Macaca mulatta: one gene and its partners. The protein of the gene in region 6 interacts with the protein of the main gene of each other region in a biochemical or structural test. Links are inferred from orthologs where the notes say so. Each region holds a gene or a part of one and is shown on either strand. Other genes may lie near its edges. The genes, in order: CFTR, TOP2A, FOS, HNRNPM, SLX4, UBE2I and TRIM28.

What was found.
Region 1: of the proteins of UBE2I (region 6) and CFTR, one has a biochemical effect on the other in vitro, tested with the Homo sapiens proteins (2 studies listed by BioGRID). The link is inferred for Macaca mulatta from reciprocal best matches to the Homo sapiens genes UBE2I and CFTR.
Region 2: the proteins of UBE2I (region 6) and TOP2A form a complex in vitro, tested with the Homo sapiens proteins (2 studies listed by BioGRID, with this or other methods). The link is inferred for Macaca mulatta from reciprocal best matches to the Homo sapiens genes UBE2I and TOP2A.
Region 3: of the proteins of UBE2I (region 6) and FOS, one has a biochemical effect on the other in vitro, tested with the Homo sapiens proteins (3 studies listed by BioGRID). The link is inferred for Macaca mulatta from reciprocal best matches to the Homo sapiens genes UBE2I and FOS.
Region 4: of the proteins of UBE2I (region 6) and HNRNPM, one has a biochemical effect on the other in vitro, tested with the Homo sapiens proteins (2 studies listed by BioGRID). The link is inferred for Macaca mulatta from reciprocal best matches to the Homo sapiens genes UBE2I and HNRNPM.
Region 5: the proteins of UBE2I (region 6) and SLX4 form a complex in vitro, tested with the Homo sapiens proteins (2 studies listed by BioGRID). The link is inferred for Macaca mulatta from reciprocal best matches to the Homo sapiens genes UBE2I and SLX4.
Region 7: the proteins of UBE2I (region 6) and TRIM28 form a complex in vitro, tested with the Homo sapiens proteins (6 studies listed by BioGRID, with this or other methods). The link is inferred for Macaca mulatta from reciprocal best matches to the Homo sapiens genes UBE2I and TRIM28.

The regions. Positions count from the first base shown.
Region 1 is NC_133408.1:157,202,157-157,205,085, forward strand, and holds part of CFTR (cystic fibrosis transmembrane conductance regulator), read left to right. Parts: intron 1-1,362; coding exon 1,363-1,535; intron 1,536-2,147; coding exon 2,148-2,253; intron 2,254-2,929. UniProt on the Homo sapiens protein: Epithelial ion channel that plays an important role in the regulation of epithelial ion and water transport and fluid homeostasis. Mediates the transport of chloride ions across the cell membrane.
Region 2 is NC_133421.1:64,770,273-64,773,772, reverse strand, and holds part of TOP2A (DNA topoisomerase 2-alpha), read left to right. Parts: intron 1-143; coding exon 144-296; intron 297-543; coding exon 544-667; intron 668-776; coding exon 777-820; intron 821-1,558; coding exon 1,559-1,693; intron 1,694-3,014; coding exon 3,015-3,214; intron 3,215-3,500. UniProt on the Homo sapiens protein: Key decatenating enzyme that alters DNA topology by binding to two double-stranded DNA molecules, generating a double-stranded break in one of the strands, passing the intact strand through the broken strand, and religating the broken strand.
Region 3 is NC_133412.1:148,475,682-148,479,935, reverse strand, and holds FOS (protein c-Fos), read right to left. Parts: upstream 2,801-4,254; coding exon 2,660-2,800; intron 1,906-2,659; coding exon 1,654-1,905; intron 1,218-1,653; coding exon 1,110-1,217; intron 993-1,109; coding exon 351-992; downstream 1-350. UniProt on the Homo sapiens protein: Nuclear phosphoprotein which forms a tight but non-covalently linked complex with the JUN/AP-1 transcription factor. In the heterodimer, FOS and JUN/AP-1 basic regions each seems to interact with symmetrical DNA half sites.
Region 4 is NC_133424.1:9,317,659-9,321,158, forward strand, and holds part of HNRNPM (heterogeneous nuclear ribonucleoprotein M), read left to right. Parts: intron 1-278; coding exon 279-470; intron 471-1,172; coding exon 1,173-1,326; intron 1,327-2,490; coding exon 2,491-2,540; intron 2,541-3,500. UniProt on the Homo sapiens protein: Pre-mRNA binding protein in vivo, binds avidly to poly(G) and poly(U) RNA homopolymers in vitro. Involved in splicing.
Region 5 is NC_133425.1:4,820,416-4,823,915, forward strand, and holds part of SLX4 (structure-specific endonuclease subunit SLX4), read right to left. Parts: intron 742-3,500; coding exon 545-741; intron 444-544; coding exon 127-443; intron 1-126. UniProt on the Homo sapiens protein: Regulatory subunit that interacts with and increases the activity of different structure-specific endonucleases.
Region 6 is NC_133425.1:2,512,388-2,516,687, reverse strand, and holds the start of UBE2I (SUMO-conjugating enzyme UBC9), read right to left. Parts: upstream 2,801-4,300; 5' UTR 2,631-2,800; intron 1,266-2,630; 5' UTR 1,255-1,265; coding exon 1,189-1,254; intron 997-1,188; coding exon 913-996; intron 1-912. UniProt on the Homo sapiens protein: Accepts the ubiquitin-like proteins SUMO1, SUMO2, SUMO3, SUMO4 and SUMO1P1/SUMO5 from the UBLE1A-UBLE1B E1 complex and catalyzes their covalent attachment to other proteins with the help of an E3 ligase such as RANBP2, CBX4 and ZNF451.
Region 7 is NC_133424.1:70,681,956-70,686,169, reverse strand, and holds the start of TRIM28 (transcription intermediary factor 1-beta), read right to left. Parts: upstream 2,801-4,214; 5' UTR 2,503-2,800; coding exon 2,163-2,502; intron 1,834-2,162; coding exon 1,721-1,833; intron 1,495-1,720; coding exon 1,362-1,494; intron 1-1,361. UniProt on the Homo sapiens protein: Nuclear corepressor for KRAB domain-containing zinc finger proteins (KRAB-ZFPs).

The DNA of each region.
Region 1 (2,929 bases), on a different chromosome or scaffold from region 6:
TTCGAGTCTTCGGGGATACATCAGAGTAGCCCCCCTTGTCGAATAAATGTGCTTACATTTCCTACCATACCAGAAACTCTTCTCAAACTTTAATTAATTTCCACAAGGTGAGATTACTTTAATGAAAAACCAACCAAGGAAAGGAGTATCATGTGCAATATACTTTCAAATGTGTTTTGTTTGTTTCCTATCCAGCTTAAAAAAACAAGTCATTAGTCCTAACACAACTTTCATATTCTACCCCATATCAAAGAGGCTTAAAATCTCCTGGTAAGATGATGGACACACAGTTAATTTTTTATGAACAAACACAGTGTTTTGGACCATTTCTGATTTTAACTCTGAAATCAAAAGATTCTTTCTGAGGCCATTGTCTCATTCTCCATTACAGTCAGGTGGGAGCCCATCTTACCTCCTGATACTAAATTCTAGACTTCTCAAGGGCAGGAGACAATCATCTGTATATCTCTTTGGCCTTCATACACTCAGGAGTACTTGCCAAAAATAAACATTTAATGCACATTTATTCGAATAATCGATAAATCCAATACTTCAATAACTGTCATATTTTGATAGAATGGGTTTCTATATCTCATTTGCATTTTCAAACTTTACTTTTACTGTCTAGCTTAAAAAAAAGTCATTGACCCTAATACAGCCCTCATTTTCTCCCCCAATATCTAAGAGGCTTTATATGTCCTAGTGTTATGCCACTATTTTAATGCCAGTATTTTTTACTTCATATTTTTATCTATTTGTTACAGTTAGTTTTTATGATTTCAAAAGATGAATAGCAATCTTCCATATGTAATTTAAAAAACCCCACAGTTGATTATTTTATGCTATCTTTTGTCCTCAATCATGACAGAGTAGAAGATGGGACGTAGCACCAAGGATGATATCATACCTCCATCCTTTATGCTGCATTCTATCTTCTGTCTACATAGGATGTCATACTAGAGGGCATACCTGCGATGTATACATATTATCTTTTCCAGCATGCATTCAGTTGTGTTGGAATAATTTAGGTACACCTTTATAAACCCTGAGCCTCACAAGAACCATGTACCACGTATTGTTTCCTTACTACCTTTTGGGATACGTGGCACATAATAGGCACTCATTGAAAGTTTCCTAATGAATGAAGTACAAAGATAAAACAAGTTATAGACTGATTCTTTAGACTTGTCAAGGTAATAAATAGACTTTTGCTCAATCAAATTCAAATGGTGGCAGGTAGTGGGGCCAGAGGGATTGGTATGAAAAACATAAGCTTTCAGAACTCCCGTGTTTATTTTTAGAATGTCGACCGCTTGAGTGTTTTTAACTCTGTGGTATCTGAACTACCTTCTCTAACTGCAGGTTGGGCTCAGATCTGTGATAGAACAGTTTCCTGGGAAGCTTGACTTTGTCCTTGTGGATGGGGGCTGTGTCCTAAGCCATGGCCACAAGCAGTTGATGTGTTTGGCTAGATCTGTTCTCAGTAAGGCGAAGATCTTGCTGCTTGATGAACCCAGTGCTCATTTGGATCCAGTGTGAGTTTCAGAAGTTCTGTTACTTAATAGCACAATAGGAACATAATCATTATGCCTGCTTCATGGTAACACATATTTCTATTAGGCTATCATGTCTGTGAGTGGGGGCCTCCCCCAGGAAATGAAATAATTGCCCAGTGGAAATGAGCATAAATGCTCATTTCCTTATCTAAGAGTCTTGTGTTTTCTTCTGAAGATAGTTTTTAGTTTCATACAAAGTCTTCCCCCTTGTCAATACATGATGAAACTTTTAAATACATGGGCGTAATCTGATCCTTATGATTTGCCTTTGTATCCCATTTACACCATAAGCATGTTTATAGCCCCAAATAAAGAAGTACTGGTGAATCTACATAATGAAAAATACACTCATTTATAAAAGTTTCTTCGAAATATTTGTCCTGTTTATTTGTGGATACTTAGAATCTACCCCATGGTTGAAAAGCTGATTGTGGCTAACTCTATATCAACATTATGGGAAAAGAACTTAAAGAAAGAAGTAATTTAAAGAGATAAATTAATAGAACAATAGACATAATTACTATTAGTAATAGTAAATACAGATAATTACTGTTCTGTGATATTATGTATAGTATTTTCTTTCTTTTCTAGAACATACCAGATAATTAGAAGAACTCTAAAACAAGCATTTGCTGACTGCACAGTAATCCTCTGTGAACACAGGATAGAAGCAATGCTGGAATGCCAACAATTTTTGGTGAGTCTTTATAACTTTACTTAAGATCTTGTTTCCCTTGTAATGCTTGATAACAATCTCAGGTGTGATAGTTCCTGCAAACTGTAACAATGTACAAGTTCTTTTCAAAAATATGTGTCATACAGCCATCCAGCTTTACTCAAAATAGCCGCACAAGTTTTTCACTTTGATCTGAGCCATGTGGTGAGGTTGAAATACAGTAAATCTAAAATGGCAGCATATTACTAAGTTATATTTATAAATAGGATATATATAATTTTTGAGCCCTTTATTTGGGGACCAAGCCATACAAAATACTCCACTGTTTAAGATTTTTAAAAAGGTCCTTATGATTCTTTCAATAACTAAATCTCCCATGGATGTGGTCTGGGACAGGCCTAGTTGTCTTGCAGTCTAATTTATGGTATTAATGACAAAGTTGAGAGGCACATTTCATTTTTCTAGCCATGATTTGGGTTCAGGTAGTACCTTTCTCAACCACCTTCTCACTGTTCTTAAAAAACTGTCACAGGGCCAGGCACAGTGGCTTACGTCTGTAATCACAACACTTTGGGAGGCTGAGGTAGGAGGATTACTTGAGGCCAGGAATTCAAGATCAGTCCAGGCAACATAGTGAGGCCCCATCTGTCTTTATTAAAACAAAATAAAACTGTCACAGATTCTTTCAAGTGATGTT
Region 2 (3,500 bases), on a different chromosome or scaffold from region 6:
CAGGGACCATATCTGTTTCTTTTCACGATTGTATTCTCAGAACTATCACAGCGGTTAATAAATTTGAAGCATAGATGGATGATAGATGGAGAAAAGTGAGTCTCAGAATATATAAAGGTGGTTGATTTCTATCTCTCCTCTAGGTACAAAGACAAAGAAACAAACTACATTGCCATTTAAGCCAATCAAAAAAGGAAAGAAGAGAAATCCCTGGTCTGATTCAGAATCAGATAGGAGCAGTGACGAAAGTAATTTTGATGTCCCTCCACGAGAAACAGAGCCACGAAGAGCAGCAAGTAAGGAAAACTAAAGAACATTATAGATAAGCTGTAAGAGTGGAATGGCCAATATACTTCAGGGTACTTTGCCCCAGAAATTACTGTGTCTTAATAGAGCAGTAAATTAAAGTAAGTTAAAGCTTTGAAACACTGAAGCATCTTTCAGGAGATTAAAAACTAAAATATTCATGAAATGTTATATCAACCTATGAATTAAGTGTTTCTCCTACTACCCTCTGATTTTTTGTATATGTTTTTTTACTAGCAAAAACCAAATTCACAGTGGATTTGGATTCAGATGAAGATTTCTCAGATTTTGATGAAAAAACTGATGATGAAGATTTTGTCCCATCAGATGCTAGTCCACCTAAGACCAAAACTTCCCCAAAGTAAGTATCTTTTCTAATATGGGTTTTTGTCATGATTGTTTCTAATATATTGTTTTTTGCTTAACACCTTTAGAATTGGTTGTCAGGATTTTTTTTTTTTTAATTCTAGACTTACTAACAGAGATCTGAAACCACAGAAAAGGGCTATGTCAGGTATGTATCTAAGTAAAAGCAGTGAGACATCTGCCTTACTGGGACACTCAGATCCAACTGGGTTCTAATCCTGGCTACATTATCCAAGTACTTCCTTTGGAAATAAATTTGAGTTCTTAATAACATTATGTTGACACTGTTCGTTGGGTTTAGTTTCACATGTAAATAGGTACTGCATTCAGTATACTAAAAGTAATCATAGTGCTTGCCAGGTACTTTGCTAGGTGCTAGAGATACAAAAAATAAAAACTGTTCTTGCTGATAAAAAATTCAGAAATTAGAACAAAGTTTTAAGAGTATGTTTTAGGCTGGGCATGGTGGCTCACACCTGTAATCCCAGCACTTTGGGAGGCCGAGGTGGGTGGATCACCTGAGGTCAGGAGTTCGTGACAAGCCTGGCTAACACAGTGAAACCCCGCCTCTACTAAAAATACAAAAAATTAGCCAGGCGTGGTGGCGGGCACCTGTAGTCCCAGCTACTTGGGAGGCTGAGGCAGGAGAATGGTGTGAACCCGGGAGGCGGAGCTTGCAGTGAGCCGAGATCAAGCCACTGCACTCCAGCCTGGGCAACAGAGCAAGACTCCATCTCAAAAAATAAAAAAAAAAGTATGTTTTAAATATTCCAGAAAAGTCACATATTTGGTGTTTAAATAGGAATTCATACCAAGCACAAAGCAGAAAATGGATTTTCATGTGTTGGCTTAAATGTACTATTTTCCTTTCCATTTGAAATGATAGACCTTGAAGCTGATGATGCTAAGGACAGTGTACCACTGTCTTCAAGCCCTCCTGCTACACATTTCCCAAATGAAACTGAAATTACAAACACAGTTCCTAAAAAGAATGTGACAGTGAAGAAGACAGCAGCAAAAAGTAAGCCTAAATCTTTGAGATGGGTTAATGTTGCAATTAACTAACTGGTTTTCACGTGGCAATTTCAATTTTTTATTGCCAAAACTTACTGTTGATATTACAAATTAAACCTTTTCCAAATGGAAGCAATTTCTTTTAGATCTTTATAATCAAAATTAGTAGTCAAGGCTGGTCCTGATTGTTCATTCAGTTACAGATCAAACTCCTTGTTCTACTCTTTTCCCTCCTTCTCACTACTGCACTTGACTAGTCAAAACACAAAACAAAACAAAAGCCAGGCAGAGTGGCTCATACCTGTAATCCCAGCGCTTTGGGAGGCTAAAGCAAGAGGATCGCTTGAGGCCAGGAGTTCAAGGCTGCAGTGAGCTATGATCAAGCCACTGCACTCCAGCCTGAGTGAGAGAGTGAGACCCTGTCTCCAAAAATAAGGTAGTCCAAATGTTTAAAATCAGCGTGTTTCTCTCAGTACCAGGCTTCATCTAGTTCATTTCTATGACAAGGATAGGATTTATAAGCAATTGCAAATGTTTAATGTAAAACATATTCTTAAAATTGAATGTTTAAGGCTGGATGCAGTGGTTCATGCCTGTAATCCCAGCACTTTGGGAGGCCTAGGTGGGTGGATCACCTGAGGTCAGGATTTCGAGACTAGCCTGGCCAATATAGTGAAACCTCGTCTCTACTAAGAATACAAAATTAGCCAGGTGTGGTGGCACATGCCTGTAGTCAGCTACTCGGGAGGCTGAAACGGGAGAATCGCTTGAACCCAGGAGGCAGAGGCTACAGTGAGCTGAGATCGTGCCACTGCATTCCAACCTGGGCGAGATAGAGCAAGACGCTATCTCAAAAAAAAAAAAAATAGAATGTTTAAGAATACTTTGATTCTCTATTTTCACCTCTCTTAGATTGTCTTTTCCTATGTTAAATATACACAGTCATCACATTGCTGAAGAAAGTTCACAATGAGAACAATTCATCTAAGAGTGGCTATGACTAGGTCGGGCGCAGTGGCTCATGCCTGTAATCCCAGCACTTTGGGAGCCCAAGGCAAGTGGATCACCTGAGGTCAGGAGTTTGAGACCAGCTTGACCAACATGGTAGAACACCATCTCTACTAAAAATACAAAAAATTAGCCAGGTGTGGTGGCACGTGCCTGTAATCCCAGCTACTCAGGAGGCTGAGGCAGGAGAATCGCTTGAACCCAGGAGGCAGAGGTTGCAGTGAGCCAAGATAATGCCATTGCACTCCAGCCTGGGCGATAGAGTGAGACCCCATCTCAAAAAAAGAGCGGCTGTAACAAATGCCTGTATTGAATTGCAGGTCAGTCTTCCACCTCCACTACCGGTGCCAAAAAAAGGGCTGCCCCTAAAGGAACTAAAAAGGAACCAGCTTTGAATTCTGGTATCTCTCAAAAGCCTGATCCTGCCAAAACCAAGATTCGCCGCAAAAGGAAGCCATCCACTTCTGATGATTCTGACTCTAATTTTGAGAAAATTGTTTCAAAAGCAGTCACAAGCAAGGTGAGTGTTGATTCTAGTCAGTCCTTTTGCTGTAGGTGTTCTGAAACACGTAACTAAGCCATTGCTCTTAATAATTTGGCATGTCGCCGGGCGCGGTGGCTCAAGCCTGTAATCCCAGCACTTTGGGAGGCCGAGACGGGCGGATCACAAGGTCAGGAGATCGAGACCATCCTGGCTAACACGGTGAAACCCCGTCTCTACTAAAAAATACAAAAAACTAGCCGGGCGAGGTGGCGGGCGCCTGTGGTCCCAGCTACTCCGGAGGCTGAGGCAGGAGAATGGCGTA
Region 3 (4,254 bases), on a different chromosome or scaffold from region 6:
AATGAACCCAATAGATTAGTTAATGCTATGAGAAGACTAAGGAGAAAGAGAAAAGAGACACAGACCCAGGCCTGGCTCAACATGCTACTAACTACCAGCTCTCTGAAGTGTCACTGGGAACAATACACACTCCATGCGTTTTGCTACATCTCCGGAAGAGGTAAGGACTTGAGTCCACACATGGATGCTTTCAAGTCCTTGAGGCCCACAGCCTGGTGTGTTTCACGCACAGATAAGGTCCTCCCTAGGTCTACAGGAACCCTCTAGGGAAGACGTGTTTCTCCTCTCTGTAATGCACCAGCTCGGGCAGTGGCACTTGTGGGTGCCGGCTGCCTCCCTTCCCTGCCCGCTCACAGGGCCAGCAGCGTGGGTGAGCTGAGCGAGTCAGAGGAGGGCTCATTGCTGCTGCTGCCCTTGCGGTGGGCAGCTGCGCAGCTGGGGAAGGAGTCAGCCTCGGGGTAGGTGAAGACGAAGGAAGACGTGTAAGCAGTGCAGCTGGGAGTACAGGTGACCACCGGAGTGCACAGGGGCTCCAGCTCTGTGGCCATGGGCCCCATCCCCAGGGAGCCACTGTGCAGGGGCTCCCAGTCTGCTGCATAGAAGGACCCAGATAGGTCCATGTCTGGTACAGAGCGGGCTGTCTCAGAGCCGCTGGGCCTGGATGATGCTGGGAACAGGAAGTCATCAAAGGGCTCAGCCTTCAGCTCCATGCTGCTGATGCTCTTGACAGGCTCCACTGAGGGCTTGGGCTCTGGGTCATTGAGGAGAGGCAGGGTGAAGGCCTCCTCAGACTCTGGGGTGGCAGCCTCTGGCAGGCCCCCAGTCAGATCAAGGGAAGCCACAGACATCTCTTCTGGAAAGCCCAGGTCATCAGGGATCTTGCAGGCAGGTCGGTGAGCTGCCAGGATGAATTCTAGTTTTTCCTTCTCCTTCAGCAGGTTGGCAATCTCGGTCTGCAAAGCAGACTTCTCATCTTCTAGTTGGTCTGTCTCCTGTATACAGAGGGAGAAAGGAAAGCATAAGAAACAGTCTTACTCAAGGGCCCTTATGCTCAATCTCCAACTTTCCCCTTAAGTTTTAAAAAGGAGCAACCCGCAAAGTCTACCTACCGCTTGGAGTGTATCAGTCAGCTCCCTCCTCCGGTTGCGGCATTTGGCTGCAGCCATCTTATTCCTTTCCCTTCGGATTCTCCTTTTCTCTTCTTCTTCTGGAGATAACTAGGATAATCACAAAAAAAAAAAAGACCGACATTCAGTAAAAGTGTCTGCCATCACCTCCATTCACCCACCCCAGTAGAACTGGCTCCTGCAGCTTCCCTACTTCCTGGCATCCCACTGTGAAACCATTTCTAACCTGCAGTTGCAGACTAGGTGTGACTTGCATTTAAAATAAGATCCTCAGCAAGAGAACAAAGAAGAGCCCAGTCTAAAAGCATGCGGTAGGAAACTTAGGGAAGAAACTATGAGAGTACTTCTTAGGGTGAGACTCAGAGTCTGAGTTGGGATGGAATGGGCTTGGAGCCAGGGTTCCCAGTTAGGGATGTGCAGCCAGCCCCGTCAGGGGCTTAATCCTCTCTGCTGTGCTCCTCCACCTCCAGGGCCGCTTCCCACCCAGCCCCCACCTTCCCAGGAAGGGTAGGCTAGAGTTCCTCACCTGTTCCACCTTACCCCTCCTGCCAGTGCTCTGCGCTCGGCTTCCTGTCATGGTCTTCACAATGCCAGCCCTGGAGTAAGCCCCAGCGGAGGGAGTGGGGACTCCGAAGGGGTGAGGGGCTCTGGTCTGCGATGGGGCCACAGAGGAGACGAGGGCCGGCTGCACAAGCCACTGCAGGTCCGGACTGGTAGAGATGGCAGTGACCGTGGGAATGAAGTTGGCACTGGAGACGGCCAGGTCCGTGCAGAAGTCCTAGAACAAAACAGAAGGGGAAAGCCGACGTGAGCGAGCAGATTCCGGACACAGGTGGGGCGAGTTGCCGGTGCCGCATGCAGTAGCGAAGAGAAACGATCCTGCCACGGACGTTTCATCTTAAATGTCCCTCATCCTGGATGAAAGGTCTCCCCCTTTTCCTCCCAGGCATTCCGCAGCGCAGTGTCTGTCTCTTCCATCCTGCCGCTGCGTTCCCGTTATCCCTTCAGCATCACTCGCTTGAAAGGGGGTTTGTTATAAATATCCCTGACGTCTGCGCTGACGCAGGCGCCGCTCCGGAGTCTCCAGAATGAACTCGCTTTTTATCAATGAAACTGCCTTACACACCCGCCCGCTGCACCCTCCTCCCTCACCCCTCCTCCCTGCTCCAGGCTGCCGGGGGAGGGGGGATTGCCGCTTTCTGCCACCTCCCCAGAGAAGCCAGGCTCTAGTTAGCGGGTCTGTGCTTGGGAGACGTCTGCCCCAGCTAATGTCAGAGATCCGTCCTGGAATGCAAACCAGACGTTGCTCAGAACGAACCTGCCTCCGGAAGGGGGAACAAATTCTTACTATGGCAAGCTTGCGTGCGCTCAGAGCCAAGTCCCGAGCCCCCGAGCCGGCACCGCTCCGGCCACTGCAGCCTCCCTCCAGGCACAAGGGAGCCCCCTACTCATCTCCTGGAGCGTCCCGCCCGGTGTCTCCTCCTCAGCGACCCCAAGCCCCCGGCCCCGCGGCGGTGGGAAGCCAGCCTTACCTGCGCGTTGACAGGCGAGCCCATGCTGGAGAAGGAATCGGCGGGTGAGTGGTAGTAGGAGAGGCTATCCCCGGCCGGGGACGCGCTGCTGCAGCGCGAGGATGACGCCTCGTAGTCTGCGTTGAAGCCCGAGAACATCATCGTGGCTGTTAGGCAAAGCCGGGCGTGGGGCCGAGGGGCGGAGACAGGTGGGCGCTGTGGAGCAGAGCTAGGTAAGAGCGCGGTCACTGCTCGTTCGCTGCGCCGCGGCCGCCGGCTCAGTCTCGGCTTCTCGGCTGCTTGCTGCAGATGCGGTTGGAGTACGAGGCGCCGCAGCCACTGCTTTTATAACAAGCGTTTTATGAATGAGTGTAAACGTCACGGGCTCAACCACGGTGGCGCCAGAGGGGTGGCGCGCGGGCCTGAGCGCCTCTGCCGCCGCGTGGCTGCCTCCCCAGCGCTCGCAGCTCCCTGCCTGTGCCTTGGCGCGTGTCCTAATCTCGTGAGCATTTCGCAGTTCCTGTCTCAGGGGTCTCGTGGGACCCTCAAGATGAGGGGCTTCGGGGATGGCTCCCCCCAGGGCTACAGGGAAAGGCCGTGGAAACCTGCTGACGCAGATGTCCTAATATGGACATCCTGTGTAAGGGGGAGGGATTGACGGGAACTGCTCGCGGGCTGCAGCCAACAACGAGGGTGCAGCGCGGGGGGAGGCGGGGGCCGCGGCCGGGGGAGGGGAGGCGGGAACGGCGCAGAATGCTAGAGAACATTCGCACCTGGTTCAATGCGGACCCTTGTTCCCGAGGTCGGGGGGGATGGGGCAGAGAGCGCCTCTTTACCCTTGTACGGAAACTGAAGACAGTTCTGAGGCTCAAGAATAGGAGAAACGGCCTCGGGTACACGGCCCCGAGGACTTAAGCCTCGGCTCCCGAAGGAATGCGTCCCTACCCCCATCCCCAATTCTAGCCCTAATTCAGTGCAAAACGAGGAAGCAGACCCTCACCCCTCTCCTCCCGGGCTCGAGCAATGCTAGCACTGTTCCTGCGTTTGGAAGCAGAAAGTGGATCCAAAATAACAGAATACGATAACCTACTTTACGATACTGGGTACTTTATTTATTTACTTATTTTTTCTTTAAGGAAGACAGCGCATTTATTTATTTATTTTTCTCGGCCATGTGTGGGAATATTAAGGAAACTGTCAAATCCCTGAGACACCAGCAGATAAACACTGTGCGACACCTACGTGCGAAGACATTTGAAGGGGGTGTCTGCCCGGTTCTGAGCTGGGCCCCGGGGGTAGGGAGTGCGGGGTGTGGTTATGTGGGCAGGGTGGTCAGTTCGGGATGACAAGGCGGGGTGTGCTTCCTGCGGGGAACTAAAATCTGAACTGGGGGGCTGGTTCGGTCCCGCCAGGAAGCTGTGCTTACGGGAGCCCGCAGCGGGTGATTTTCCAGCGCGGACTTGGAGAGGGGAGGACAGGGGCTGGAAGGACAGTGTCCAGCAGCGCCCAGGCGGAATACCTCCACCGCTGGGACCCCAGGCGCGGCTCCACGTCCTGGAACACCGGGCTTTGGGGAGGCAAGGTGCTCCAGAGTGTGCCACGCCCCCCAGCCTCCT
Region 4 (3,500 bases), on a different chromosome or scaffold from region 6:
AATCATGTTTCCTTCCCTACCCTGCTTTTCTTTTTTACTTAGTTCAGTTGAGAGCTATGTTTTTAGTGCTATATTTCATGCCTTTTCTTCCTTTCCTGTTCCTTTAGCTGGACTCTTCTAAGCTGGTAGTTGAGTTCATTTGACTTTCTTGTTAATAGATTTGAGAGATGCTTTCCAAACAACCTTTCAGTTTCTAAGTCTTGAGAATATCATTTACTGTGCAAGCATGGTTTGCGTTGTCACTGGGTCAAACGTAACACCATTTGTGCTTGTTTTAGGATCCTGATGGTGAACATGCCAGGAGAGCAATGCAAAAGGTGATGGCTACGACTGGTGGGATGGGTATGGGACCAGGTGGCCCAGGAATGATTACTATCCCACCCAGTATCCTAAATAATCCCAACATCCCAAATGAGATTATCCATGCATTACAGGCTGGAAGACTTGGAAGCACAGTATTTGTAGCAAATGTAAGTAAACAGAACCATCATCTAAAGTAGAAAATAACTTTATGAAATGACCTTGTCAGTATGTTATAAAAGTAATTCTGACATTTGAGAAGAAAAATATAAAGAAGGGTTGTGTTCTTGATTTCTTTAAAAATCAGCCGTATAGGTAGACTTTGTCTGCATTCCTAAGTCACAAGCTTGACCATGGTCTCATTGGGGCTGTGATTCCTGAGTTTTGCAGGTGTTTCCACAAGCAGTAACCGAGTCTGCATTCTCCGTTGGTTTATTTGTGCAGTTTTGGTGCAGAGTAAGAGTGTACGAGCAGAAGTGCACTGACACCTTCCTCTTATTGTGTCTGGGGTGAATGATACCTCCACCATTGCAAGGGGAGATATTTTTAGCAGAAAGTAGCTTGGGTGGGGTGGGGTATGGTAAAGCTTATCAGGGAAACAATTTTTTAAAAATGTTCAGAAAATGAGTATTAATTTGAAGTATGAGGTGACTTAAGTTTCTGAGAAAAGAAACCATATATTTAAGTACAGTTTATTTACAGTGAAGGCCAGGCTTTATAATCCTATTTTAAAATTTCCATTGCAGTTGATTAGTTTTTGTGACATTATTTCCTAATACTTTTTCCAACCAAAGCATGTCTCATTCACATAGTAAAAATGTGTTTCTTAAGACGTTTACATTGAGGTTTTTACCCCGTTCTTTCTCGATTAGCTGGATTATAAAGTTGGCTGGAAGAAACTGAAGGAAGTATTTAGTATGGCTGGTGTGGTGGTCCGAGCAGACATTCTTGAAGATAAAGATGGAAAAAGTCGTGGAATAGGCACTGTAACTTTTGAACAGTCCATTGAAGCTGTGCAAGCTATATGTATCCTTCTGCAGGAATTCAACTTGTGAACAATTTGACCTAAATTGCTGTGTTAGTAATGTAGGTTTGTGTGAGGAAGAGGTGACTGTGTATTAATGTTTTTTATGTGACTAGGGAGAATGCATTACTGTGGAATTAAAAGGTTCTCTGGGCCGGACCGGGCATGGTGGCTCAAACCTGTAATCCCAGCACTTTGGGAGACCGAGGCGGGCAGATCACTTGAGGTCAGGAGTTCGAGACCAGCCTGGCCAACATGGTGAAACCCTACCTCTACTAAAAATACAAAAATTAGCTGGGTGCAGTGGTGGATGCCTGTAATCCCAGCTACTCAGGAGGCTGAGGCACAAGAATCGCTTGAACCCGGGAGGTGGAGGTTGCAGTGAGCCAAGATCGGGCCACTGCACACCACCAGCCTGGGTGATAGAGTGAGACTCAGTCTCAAAAAAAAAAAAAAAAAAAAAAAAGGTTCTTTGGGGGTGGAGTTGATTCAATACAGTGTGGATAGAGGGGATGGTTAGAACATGGGCGTATGCCCATGAGTGGTCTTTCTACTGTTTTCAGAAGAGTCTAGGTTTGAAGGAGGAAGCCCAAAGAATGCACCACTAGAGAGAAACTGGGTTGTTATTTCATGTGTAATACATCCCTATAGGATTACTCACTCTCTCCAGTGAGTAGACATCATTTTGGAAGAGGACACTTCTCCTTGACCCTAGGCTTAGCCTAGAGTTTTAATCCCATGGAGAGTACCCCACAGGAGCACATTCATGCAACTCAGACGAGACCGTCTTGGCATGTCTTACCCAGAAAGCATGGTCCTTCAGTTTAGATAGTGGTAGATGCCTGGCCCATTGGCCACATTCAGAGAACCTTGATGCCACTGCTTAAGAGGATGGTTTGGTGAAATTATAAGGTTACAAATGAAGCTTCACACCTGAGGAATAAGCAGAAGTTGTCTTGTCCTCCCGCCGTCTTTATTTATTGTTCCTTTTATGTTTATTGTTGAAAGTATAATGAAGAATTGAAATTGCTCATAAATTCATCACTTAGAGGAACTGGTAGCAGTTGGAGTATTTTTCTTTCTTTCTCTCTCTCTTTTTTTTTTTTTTGTATTTCTCTTGTGCACATTTTTAGAATTGCAAGAAATAGCCTTAATTGTAATACCAGCTATGTTCAATGGCCAACTGCTATTTGATAGACCAATGCACGTCAAGATGGTAAGTCAGTAGGATCTTTCTGTGTGATATACTCAAGGCTAGCAAAAACATGGAATTAATAAGAATGTACACATATCCACTATAAAATATTTATGGATTAGTCTAAGTTAAATAAGGTGCAGTATGTTGAGTGAATTTGTGAGAGAAATAACATTTTGCTGGTCGGGCATGGTGGTTCATGCCTGTAATCCCAGCACTTTGGGAGGCTGAGGCGGGCGGATCATGAGGTCAGGAGTTTGAGACCAGCCTGACTAACATGGTGGAACTCCGTCTCTACTGAAAATACAAAAATTAGCTGGGCGTGGTGGCACGCACCTGTAGTCCCAGCTACTTGGGAGGCTGAGGCAGGAGAATCAACTTGAATCTGGGAGGAGGAGGTTGCAGTGAGCCAAGATCGTGCCACTGCACTCCAGCCTGGGCAACAGAGTGAGATTCAGTCTCAAAAAAAAAAAAAACAAAACATTTTGCTCATGGCAACTCTTGACTGCATTAGATATTTTTCCTTTTGCACAGTTGACTGTTCATGGCACATACAGGTAGTCACCTGGGTATCCTGGTTGAGCAAGTGATCTGTTTCAAAGAATAGTTACATATGTGGGGTTCCAGTTTTTCAGAGTATTACAGTATAATGTTTGGTTAGCATCAAATCTTTTGTGAACATAATTAAGTCATTGATTCAGACAGCTCTTAAAGGTCTGTTGGAGCATTTCAGTCTTAATAAACATTTGCTCTGCCGTGGCTGTGCCAAAGATAATAATTACTACAGGCATGACTGGAACATGCTGGGGGCAATCTAGTCGGGGCTCAAATTCAGGAAAAAGATAAAAGAAACTATAAAGCAATTTTTTCATTACTGTAAATAGAATAGTTAAGTTTTTTGAATAGATGATAGATTCATATGACTCAAAAGTCAAAAAATATGAAAAGATAGCGTGAAGATAGTGTGAGTCCTACTTGGAC
Region 5 (3,500 bases), about 2.3 Mb from region 6:
TCCTCCCGCCTCTGCCTTTTCTTCCTGGACTTTCCATCACCTGGCTGTGGATACCCAGTGTTGCAGTTCTGGGACCGCCGGCCTCCCGCAAAAGCCTATCCCATGTGCCTGAGGGGAGGGACTCACCTGGGCAGGCCGCTGGGGCACGAGGGGAGGGACCAGCCTGGCCGTGTAGAAGGCCTCCGTGGCCCAGGCCCCAGTCAGGGCACTGCCCTCCCACAGAAAGCTCTGCTTGCATTCAGGTGGAGGAGGACACTGGCCCGCTCTTTCCCACCCTTCCTTTAAAATCCTGCTGGCAGGAAGTGGTGGCGTGCTAGACAATTCCACTTCCTCAGACAGGAGCAGGGCCACACGGTCCTCTATCTGTCGGCCTGTGGTTTCAGAGTCCTGGACTAACAACAATGGGGGAGACACTGGGGGTTTCTTCTTGCGACTTTTCTTCTCTAGAGAGAAACAAAAGCGACACCATCAACGGTGGAGTCAGCCCACTCCCCCGCGACCCGCCGGTGGTCTCTCCCAGGGCCACTGTTCTGGCCACACAAACCTGCTTCTGGTTTTATCCTCTCAGAAAAGGCACTTTCCAGCCTGAGCGCTGGCACAGCCGCACACGGCTCCATCTCCGACCGGGACAGAGCCATGGCCACCAGCAGGTCCTCGGACGGTGCCTCGTCCACCTTCCGCCTCTTCCGTGGCTCCTTCTTGCTGGCGGGTCCTCTCCGTTTCAGACCTCCACCGTGATCACTGAAGCGAGAAGACAGCCAAAAAGAAAAGTTACTGGGGCTAGAGGAGTGCACGCTTCTCAGGTTGGTCACACTGGCCTGGAGAGGGCTGGGCCTGAGAGAAAAGTGACGGATGTGGACCTGCCAGGCAGACGCATCCCCCACTTCTATTGCCTTGTGTGAACTCATTCAATCACAGGCCAAAAGTTCAACATGGCCCAGGCATGGGAGGGTCTGGGTTCCTTCACGTGCTGCTGTCCAGCAGGCTCATGGCAGATGTCCAGAGCCATCTGTGGTACCTGCACATCCTCATGTGGCCAAGCCCGTCCAATGGAGTCAACAGTCGACGGCTCTAAGCAGGCTCCCTGGACTCCCACCACCTTCACCCATCAATACTTCCGATGCTCCTTACATGGTCCTGGCCACACCGGCAGAAAAGGATCCCTTCCCTCCTGCAGGGGCTTCAGGGCAGTGCCTCTGCCCATGGCCAGAAGGAAGGGCTTCCCAGCTTAGGCTGCCAATGGTCGACATGACACCAGCCGCCACGGGACTCTGCACTTTCAGTGGGCAGCAGCGCATTTGGCTGGGAGGAAATGAACAGGAGTTTTCAGCTGGAGAGAACCTAGGCTGCCTGGGTGACTCCCAACAAGCTGGGCAGGAGGAGGGCAGAGGCGACAAAGGAACTTAGCACAAACCGGGCCCACCTTCCCTGCACTGCAGTCATGCCTCTGGCTTTTGCAAAAGCCCGTGCTCTCCACGGGGCCAGGGATGGCTCAAATTCACCTTCCTAGGAACCTGGATAATCACAGCCTCCCAGTGGGAAAGGAGCCGCCTGGGCAGCCCAGGACCCTGCCTCTGTGAGGGGAATGCAGACTCTGTCCCCTCCTCACTCCCCAGCAGGCCAGGTTTGGACTGTGGGGAAAGAGTATGAGGTACTCTGGCCGTGGCATGCGTTCTGAGGACCACAGGCTTGGCCTTGGGGGAGGGAGGGGTTCAAAGACCCCATAAGGGCATCCAGCTCCTGTAGTTTTCTACTCTAACAACCTTCTAAATGGATCCACATACATCTAGTTTCAGTACTTTGAAATATTCTAAAAAGCAGACATACTTTATCTGAGCAGGTGCTTTTGGTGTGGTCCTGACAAGAAAGAAGACCTCTATTCTAAGGCCTCAAGGCTTGCACCCCTACCATGCTGGTGTGGAGGTGCTAAATACAGATGGGCTCCCCCGCCAAGAGAATCCCTTCTGCCCTCTGCCATCTCACCCCCAACTCAGCTCGGCTGCCCATGACCTGTGTGCAAAGCAGTGGGCGGGACAGAGTCATCGCCTTTGGCGTTCCCTTTGCTCTTGACAGCGGTCTCAAAGATGGAGGAGTCAAAGGTCCAAGCTGCCTTTGTTCACTATGAACCTGGTGTCAGCTCTAGCGTCCTCAGCAGCAGGACAGGGTAGAGCAGGGCCAGCCCTCTGGCACTTGTGTGGCTGTGGTTTGCATGCTGAGGACTTGTGTCCTGGCTGTGAGCAGGGCCTCTAAAAATCTTCTGTTTCACCAACTTTGTTGTTGTTTTTGTTTTACGAAGACAGGTTCTTGCCCTGTCGCCCAGGCTGGAGTGCAGTGGTGCAATCACAGCTCATTGCAACCTTGACCTCCCAGACTCAAGCGATCCTTCCGCCTCAGCCTCCCAAGTAGCTGGGACTACAGGTGTGCAGCACCAGCCAGCTAATTTTTTAATTTTTTGTAGTGATGGGTCTTGCTATGTTGCCCAGGCTGGTCTTGAACTCCTGGGCTCAAGTGATCCTTCTGCCCTGGCCTCCAAAGTATTCAGATTACAGGTGTAAGCTACCGTGCCTGGCCAATCACCAACTCTTTGAACTGTGCTGAATAATCTTATGTTAACAGTGTGAACACTGGACTGCGCTGAGGTGGAAACCATGCCATACAGCAATGAAATGGATGGAGTAAAGTGACTACCAAATTCTTAGATGTGGTAGAGCAGCAGTCCCCAACCTTTCTGGTACCAGGAACTGGTTTCATGGAAGACAGTTTTTCCATGGGACACGAATCGGGGAAATGGTTTCAGCATCAAAGTGTTTCACCTCAGATCATCAGGCTTTAGAGTCTCATAAGGAGAGCTCAACCAAGATTCCATGCATGCGCGGCTCACAATAGGGTTTGTGTTCCTACAAGTCTAACGCCAGCACTGATCTGACGGGAGGCGAAGCTCAGGCGGTAAAACTTGCCTGCCCGCTGTTCACCTCTTGCTGTGTGGCCAGGTTCCTAACAGGCCACAGATCGGTACTGGTCTGAGGCCAGGGGGTTGGGGACCCCTGCACTAGAGGGTACCGACTGCGGGATCATGGGATTGGAAACTCAGGAAGGACCTTGAGGAAAATAGTGCGATGATCGTTTCTGCACCCACATAAAGGGGCAGGTCCAGAGCCTTCCAGAATGCAGACTCTGTCCCCTCCTCACTCCCTTCTAGACTGTGCCTGATTTCCACCCTAAGTGTTTCATTTCCAGAATGAAAGAGGGCTCTTTTTTCCTCCACCATAAAAAGCTTCTTTTTTTTGTAGACGGAGTCTCACTCTTGTCCAGGCTGAAGTGCAGTGGTGTGATCTTGGCTCACTGCAACCTCTACCTTCTGGGTTCAAGTAAGTCTCCTGCCTCAGCCTCCCAAGTAGCTGGGATTACAGGCATGCGCCACCACGCCCAGCTAATTTTTGTATTTTTAGTAGAGACAGGATTTTACCATGTTGGACAGGCTGGTCTCGAACTCCTGACCT
Region 6 (4,300 bases):
GATCCTGCCTGGATGAGGCGCCTTTGCCACCCCACAATCCGACACCACTCCCGTCTTCCTCGGGGCCGCACACCTGCGTCGCCGTGACGTGAAGAGCAAGGGACGTTCTCAGCAGAGCCTCAGACAAGCGACAAACCCAAGTGACACCATGTCTCAGGCAAAGCTGAGACCTGCTGGGACTGCTCAGCTCAGGGGGACCGAAGCTGCTTTGAGTTTCAGAGTGAAACCCAGAGGGTGGCATGGGCCGGAGGGAACAAGGCCTCGGGCAGGACCAGCACCTCAGGGCTCTCTCCTTCCTTCAGGGTTCACCAGCATGAACCTTATGTGCACACCAGCCTGGAGTCCCCGGCCAAGTGCTTCACGGGAGCCGGGCAAAGACGACAGGCACACAGGCCGCCCTGCTCCCCACAGACACACAGGGGGCCCCAAGCAGGCATCCTAGGCTGCTGTCGCCAGTCCCTGTGCCCCAGGAGGTTCTCCAGGAGGCGGCTTTACGCCAGGGTGGCTCTCCAGCAAACCCAGCTACCGTGACCTGAGCCACACCTGGAAGGACACAGCAGAATCCCGGGTTCCAGCCTGCAAAGGCTGCCCGCCCTCAGGCCTGCTCCCAACACACACCAGAGCCCCTCCCCTCTGCCACAGCTCAGCCCTGTGCCCAGCCTGCTTCCTTCTCAACCAGAAATGCCCTCGGTGGGGACACAGCTGTCACCCCAACCTTGCCAGCACCACCTTCTGAGCTCAAGTCCGCACGGGGCGGGGGCCAGGCCACAGCTGGGGATCTGACCTGTTGTCCGCAGCCCGTGACAAGGGCGGCCGTCACAGACGGCAGGGGCTGAGCAGTTTCCCCGTGGCGTTGCCACACGCATCTGTTGAGCCCCGACAGGCAGGAGGCTAGCAGCGCGCGCCTCTTACCCCTTTCTTTCCTGGAATGGCGCACTCCCAGTTCATGAGGTTCATCGTGCCATCGGGATTTTTTGTTGGGACAGCCACGAAACCCTGAGAGAAAACAACCACAAAAGCACATCAGTGCGGTGGCATCTCGTTTGACCAAAACCACCGAGAACCGGCCCGCGAGCCCCACCAGCGCGACCCAGGCACGCGGCCAGCTCCCTCCCAGTGGTGGGGGGCACGGTTTCAGCCCAGGGGGGCCGTCCGCGGCACTGCACACGGAAACGAAGCCCTCCTTACAAACGGGTGGTCTTTCCTCCATGCTTTCCTCTCCTGGGCGAGTCTGCTGAGGGCGATCCCCGACATGTTCAGAGTCCCTGGAACACAGGAGGCAGAGCACGGGGTCAGGACAGGCTAGCGGGCTCCTGCGGCCCCGCCACGTGCACACGGCCCGCAGTGGGCAGTCTTGCTCCTAACAGGCGCCAGCCCAGCCCAGCAGAGACTCTCCTCCTGGAAGCCGTCGTCCGACCCCGGGGTCTACCAGGGGAGGCCTCATGAGTGGATCCCAGATCACCGGGGGTGGGGGGACAGGTAGGACCCCTTCCCCATGGGCCCCCCGAGCCCTGGTCTGCGACACGTGCCGCGGCCTCTGCTCCACGGTGGAGACGGATGTTCAGAGGCTGGGCTGCTGTGGCTGGGCGGTAGCTGCCACCCTGTGGTGGCTGGCGTGGCAGGGTCCTCACTGAACCGTCAGGTGGGGACTAGGCAGGGCTGGGTCCCAGCCTTACTATCTGGGTCCCCGCCTTACTATCAGGCGCTCAGAACTGAGACTCAAGCCGGGCCAGGGGGACACCTAATATTGTTTTTTTTTTTTTTTTTGAGATGGAGTCTCACTCTGTCCCTCAGGCTGGAGTGCAGTGGCACTATCTCGGCTCATTGCAACCTCCGTTTCTTGAGTTCAAGCAATTCTCCTGCCTCAGCCTCCCGGGTAGCTGGGACTACAGGCCCCCGCCACCATGCCCGGCTAATTTTTGTATTTTTAATAGAGATGGGGTTTCACCGTGTTGAAGACAGAGTGGAACAAGTACCACAGGGCAGAGGCTCAGCCTCGCTGAAAGAGGAGCCCCCCACAGGGCCACCGTTCCCGGACCCTGCAGCCGCTAGCATGTCCCTGTGGCTTCAGGGGACAGACGGGTCCTGTGGGGCAGGGCAGGAGCATGGGGTACGGGACCAGGTCCCTGGTCAGAGGCAGCGGCACACACGCCAGATTCCAGCTCCACACTTCTCCACGGGACCTCAGGGGCTTGGCACCTTTGCCTTCTGGTTCCCAGCGGGAGCCTGTCGGCCCGCACTGTCCCCGGGGACACCAGGCAAACAGGGCCAGCAGCCTCGACACCAGCCTCACCTGTCACCCTACTGGTGGTCACCTTTACCATGAAAAACAGCACTCAGGGCACAAAACCTGCCAGAGAATTCAAGCCCAAGTGTGTGCTGGTTTTCAAAGTCCACGGGAACACTGAAGCTGCCTCCAAGTCTGGCATCTCAGCGCCAAGCAAGGGCCACCTCGACAAAGCTGGGGGTTGCGCCAGGCCTTCCAAACCGTGGGGGGCCGTCCCTACAAGGGCCCTGGTGACCTGGATGGCGCCCGCACCTGTGCAGGCCCACGAACCTCACACACCTCACAGCTGCAGGAAGGGGCCAGGTCAGCAGCTCCACCTGGGCCAGAGCCGCCGCAGCCTCACCTGGCACTTGTTAGGGAGGCAAGGCCCAGTCCCCAGCAGACTCATTGAGGAAGGAGCTCCGAGAGGCCCACATTCGGGTTTTGGGCGGCACGATGGCTTCCCGAGGCAGCAAAGCAGAAATCAGGGGTGGGGCTGGGATCAAGGAAGCCCAGGCGGGTCCAGTGTCGCCAGGGAACCAGGGTGCTGGAAGCCAGGCGGGGCTGCTAGAGCCGCCTGCCCTGCAGGTGGATTTGGCTCCTTTTTAACCAAACACGGATCCTCAGGGCAGCCTGAGAAAAATCAGGCAAAGGAACCCGGGTCCTCCAGTCAGTAGGTGCTGGCATCACAGCGAGAGGGTGACAGGGGCCATCCGGGCACTGGCCTCCAGCTACACGATTAAGTCCAAGACAGGTAGCCCCAGACTGGGCCCCACCGGGATGTCCCTCCCCATGCCCTCCTCACAGGGATGCGGAGGAGCCCGCAGGCCGCCTGCCCTCTGGACCACTTGCCCATCCCCATGCCCTTCTCTAAGTGGGGGTGGGGGGAAGCCAGGGGCCAGAAAGGGAGAAAGTGGGGGACACAGCTGGGCTCAGCTGTGGGCAGGCAGGGTTCGAGCCCAGAGTGGAGTGGAGCTCCCGCCAACCACGGTTTCAAGGCTCTCTCTGCACGTGTCTCCACCCTCCACTTCCACATGGAGCAGCTCAGTTGTGGCTTGAGGACTCACAGCTCTCGCTTCCCCAGCCCCAGGGTGGGCTTCATGAGTAGCCACAGCCTGTGCCTGGTGCGGTGCAAAGCAGCCTGGTGAACGGCCGTTTTGAGGAGCCACGACCTCCCAGGTGCCCGGGGTCTGAGCGGGGCCAGGAATCAAGCAGGTCTCTGAAGCCCCAGGCCAGTGCTCCAGACACTGAAGGACCAAGGCCAACACGATCCTCACAGCCAGGCAAGGCCAGGCCCCAGAGAGGCCAGCCCCAGAGAGGCCAGCCAGGCCTGGAACCCTGCCACAGGTAGCCCTCCTACTGAAGACCGGACAGAGCCACCTAGAGGCCCCCGTCCCAGCACCTAGCTATTGCTGTCTCAGATGTGAGAAGTCGTGAGGGTGCTCCTGTGAGACCTCCCGCCAAGGTCTGGCTGATGCTGCTGTATCCCCTGCCCCAAAGCACTCAGCACCACAGGGTGGTCTCACAGGAAACTGCACCACAGGGCAAGGAGCCACAGGTGCACACCCACCCTGTCCTAGGCAGAAGCCAGGCCCCTCCCCCTGCTCCCCCTCCTACTGGCCTCCTGGAGAAAGTGGCCAATGTGTTACAATGTAATCACAACACAGACGAAGCATTCAAAATCCCGCTGAAAATCGAATTTGCCCTTCCAAATTAACAGATAAGCACTAAGTGAATGGCTAGCAGTTACTAGACCCTTCAGAGCAGGGAACTTATATGAGGCAAAGACAAAAACAACCCTCATCTATCAGAGCCAAGCAAGGCCCAGACACTGCAGCAACCAGGACAGGGCCAAGCACTCCAGGAGTGGCCTGAAGGTCTGCCTTCTGTCCTGCTGGGCACCCGCGACCGGCTGAGCTTTAGCTTCTCGGATCACCACCTTGCTCTGCTGGTTGACAGCACCGACTTCCGAGCAACTTCCTGGCTGAGGGTGAGCAAAGCACTCACCTCTCACAACTCCACCGCACTCATCTC
Region 7 (4,214 bases), on a different chromosome or scaffold from region 6:
ATTTCCTGCCCATTCTGTGACACTGGGCCATTTATTGGGAAGATGTAGAGGGTGTGGCCAGCGAAGAACACAGGCCTGCAAGCCCAATTCCTTGCTCCCAGAAACCTCTGCCCCAACATAGCTGAGAAACACAACCCTTTCTTCTAGCTTCTAGAGGTGACACAAAGGTAAAGGTAAGGACAGCCTCCGGAAAAAGAGGACTACCCCCCCACACACACTGTTCCCTTTATTCTCCAAGTGGACATATTCAGAATTCTGCCTACAAACCACCCTGGACTCCTTTTCTTCTCCTTTCATGGTTAACTTCCTCCCTCTTTCGTGACAAGAAAACACCAGGGTCTCTTACAACCCAAGAGCCCAGAGAAAACCTGTAGAGGTTCTCATACTGGGAGAGATAAAATGTCAAACTAGGACCCTCAGAATGGTGGTCACACCCCCTCTAGACCAGGAGCTTGGTGCTCAGCATAATTCCACCCCAAGACCAACACATTAATAACCTTCAAAGCCTGCTTCCCCATTAGAAAACCGATTAAGCATAGTGGTCCAACATACCAACCAAATCCAAAATACGTAGCATCAGGGCTCACTGGGGAAACTGACTTCCCCAGTGCCACCATTCCTGCACCCTGACCTTTGCTTGGGACGTCTGGAATGTAGGACACCCTGCAGCCCCTGCCTATCCCTCCTGGCTCCTCAGGCCCCACAGCCGCCACTTTCCCACTATCTTCCACCAATGCTGGCCTCTGGGATGGGAAGAATCACGGTATGGCTACCAAAAGGCCACTCATGGGAGGATTTTGGCCCAAAAACTGGGCTACACTCAAAAGACTCTCAAGCTCCTTTCCAAATCAAAGCTAGCGAGTGTCTGCGAAAAGCTGGAAATGCCAAACCAAACTCCGGGTAAGTCTCTGCCAACTCAAAAGCTAAAACGTTTCCAGAAATCACCATCACTTATAACCCATGGACCCACAAAGTCTCATTTTCCCTAACAGCATCTTATACCAGATGTGTGCCAGGGAACCACAAACCCAGTAAGCCCTTCACACCATGCCTTTCCCTGTTTGCATATTCTGAGCCCTTCAACACCAGGACTGAGAACTCCCTGATAAGCTTCCTCAAACCCTCTGTACCTCCCTGCAGCACATTAAGGTCTCCACGTCTCCCCTTCCCACCCCCTCCCACCTAAGCCCTAGAGACTACACACCACAACCACAATTTTCCTGCTTTTGGAGTTCTGCTCTCCAGCCCTTCGGGCGGCACCCCCTGGACAACTCTAGGACCCATCCACCAAATGCAACCAACATTATAAAAGCAACTGAGGGCACACACGGGAAAGCAACAGCCCCCTCAGCCTCACGTACCAGTAGAGCGCACAGTGTGATCCTTGGTGTACTTCACCCGCTGGTGCGCCTCTACACAGGTCTCACACAGAGGCTCCGAGCACTCCACACAGTAGCTGGTAGCTGGGGCATTATCCTCACAGCTAGTGCAGCACTGCCAGACAAAGGCAGGGTCAGAGAAAGCAAGACAACTTGCTAGATCCACATCTACACCTCAGAAAATACAACCCAAGATTAAGATTGGTCCCTTGACCCAGCCTAGACAGCCCACCCAGAGCCTTGGGAAAGTCGAGTAACAGCCTGGGAGCTGGTGTCAAGCTCCTCCTGGGCAGATGCCCCCTCCCCAGAAACCTCCCTGTGGTTGCTGCGGTTGGACGCACCTGGTTAGCATCCTGGGCGTCGGTGGCAGCCTTGCTGCCACTATCACGCATGAAATAATTCTCCACGATGTCTTTGGAGAAGCACTGTTGCTTGCACACGGGACAGTCCACCACTTCAAGAGGCAGGGATGTGGGAGACTGTTACAAGTTCCCACCCAAGTTATGGCCCCCCGCATCCCCGTGCTGGGTGGGCCCCCGACCATTACCCCGCAGCGAGGCAGCCCCTCCCCTCCCCTCCCTGAGCCCTTTCTCCAACTTTAGTCAGATGTCTCATCTCAGCGGCCAGCTCAAACCCACGTTCCTATGCAGGACCCAGAAAGTACTCCCCGTGCACTGTCCGGGCCCCCATCCTCTTGCCCAGGTGGCATCCTCATCTCTGCACCCAGTGGGAATCAAAGGCAGAGAGTAGGGGGAGGGGTGGCCCCGATCACTTCGTACTTACCGGCGCCGTCGCCCGCAGCCCCGCCGTCCCCGGAGCTGTTGGCGGCGGCGGGCGCCGCGGGCCCTAGGCAGGCACTACAGGCCGAGTGCAAACAGGGCAGCAGGCGGGGCTCCCTCTCGGGTCGCAGGCGCTCTCTGCACACGCCGCAGTGCTCCAGCAGCTCCAGCGCCTCGGCGCCGCCCCCCGCGGGCGACGACACCGAGGCCGAGGCCGAGGCCGAGGCCGCGGTCGAAGAAGCGGTGGAGCGCTTTTCGCCGCCAGCGGAGCTCTCGCCCGGGCCCGGGCTGCCAGAGGCGGCCGAGGCCGCTGCTGCCGAGGCTGCCGCCGCCGAGGCCGCCATTCACACGCCGCCGGGGGCGCCCAGGGGGGAGGAGGGGCGCGGGGCCCGCCGCGCAGGCGCAGACGCGCTCGCCGCCAACTGCTGGGCCGCCGCCGCCGCCGCCGCGAGGCCGAGCACCGCCACGCGCCTCCTGGGCCGCTGCCCGCCGCGCGCGGGACGCTGCTGCGGCACCGCCAACTGCTGCCTGCTCGCCTCCCGAAGGCGCCGCCCGCGCTTCTTCCTCAGCCGCCGCCGAAACCCTCACCACGCGCCACAAGCACAAGCACAACCGCTCGCCCGCGCGCCCGCTCGCAGAAAGAGCCGAGGCCGGGGGGCGGGACAGAAATAACTGGCGCCGACGCCGCCGCGCACGCGCATTGGGCGCCGCACGCCCGGGGGCGGGGCCCAGGCCGGTCGGGGCGGGAGAGGCTGCCAGTACGCACGCGCCCACTCCGGGTCCTTCCACCACGGCCAACCCCACGTCGGTGGGGTCTTGTGGGGGCGGGGCGGTCCCTCTGTGACGTCACTGCCGCAATTTAATCCGCCAGTGGGGTGTGCGCACCTTTATAGAGTGTGATTCCCCTCTCAGCTCCACCTCCAGACCACACCGAAGCGGGCCGCTGTGCGCCCAAGCGCATGGGCAGTCCGTAACTCTTCCTCAACCCGCGTCTTTTCGCTCGCGTAGAGTCGTCTCCAGCCTTTGCGTCACTAAGCGTTCGGGATAGGGGGCAGGGCCAATGGAGAAGTAGGCGGGGCCAAGACGGAGTAAAGGGCTGTGCCCCGGGAGAGGGGAGGACAGGCTCCATCCCAGGAGGGAGGAAGCGCCTGTGTGAGAGCAGGGGCTGACTTTTGAATTTTAACCACGTTATAGTTAAACTTGAGAAACACAGAAAGTTGCCTAAATCAAATGTAGATCACAGACGGGCGCCGTGGCTCATACCTGTAATCCCACCATTTTCTTAGGCGAATCGGGAGGCTCCGTTTAGCCCAGGAGGCCGGGGCAGCAGTGAGCCGGGATTGTGCCACTGCACGCCAGCCTAGACAACAGATCGAAAAAAATGTGGCCGGGCGCGGCGGCTCACGCCTTTAATCCCAGCACTTTGGGAGGTCGAGGCGGGTCGATCACCTGAGGTCGGGAGTTCGAGACCAGCCTGGGCAACGTGGTGAAACCCCGTCTCTACTAAAAATACAAAAATTAGCCGGGCGTGGTGGCGGGCGCCTGTACTCCCAGCTACTCGGGAGGCTGAGGCAGGAGAATCGCTTGAACCCGGAAGGCGAAGGTTGTAGTGAGCCGAGATCATGCCATTGCACTACAGCCTGGGAGAAAAGAGCGAAACTCCATCTCAAAAGAAGAAATCTTTTTGTGTTTGTTTTGAGACGGAGTTTTGCTCTGTTGCCCAGGCTGGAGTGCAGTGGCGCGATCTCGGCTCACTGCAACCTCTGCCTCCCGGGTTCAAGCAATTATCCTGCCTCAGCCTCCTGAGTAGCTGGGATTACAGACATCCGCCTCCACACGCCCGACTATTTTTTGTATTTTTAGTAGAGACTGACTTTCACCACTTTGGCCAGGCTGGTCTCCAACTCCCCACCTCAGGTGATCAACCCGCCTCGACCTCCCAAAGAGCTGGAATTACAGGTGTAAGCCACCACGCCGGCCCCCCTACCGCCCCCCGCAAAAACACACACACAAACTATAAATCACAAGAGGCTACAGAGCAATGAGTCTATGAAAT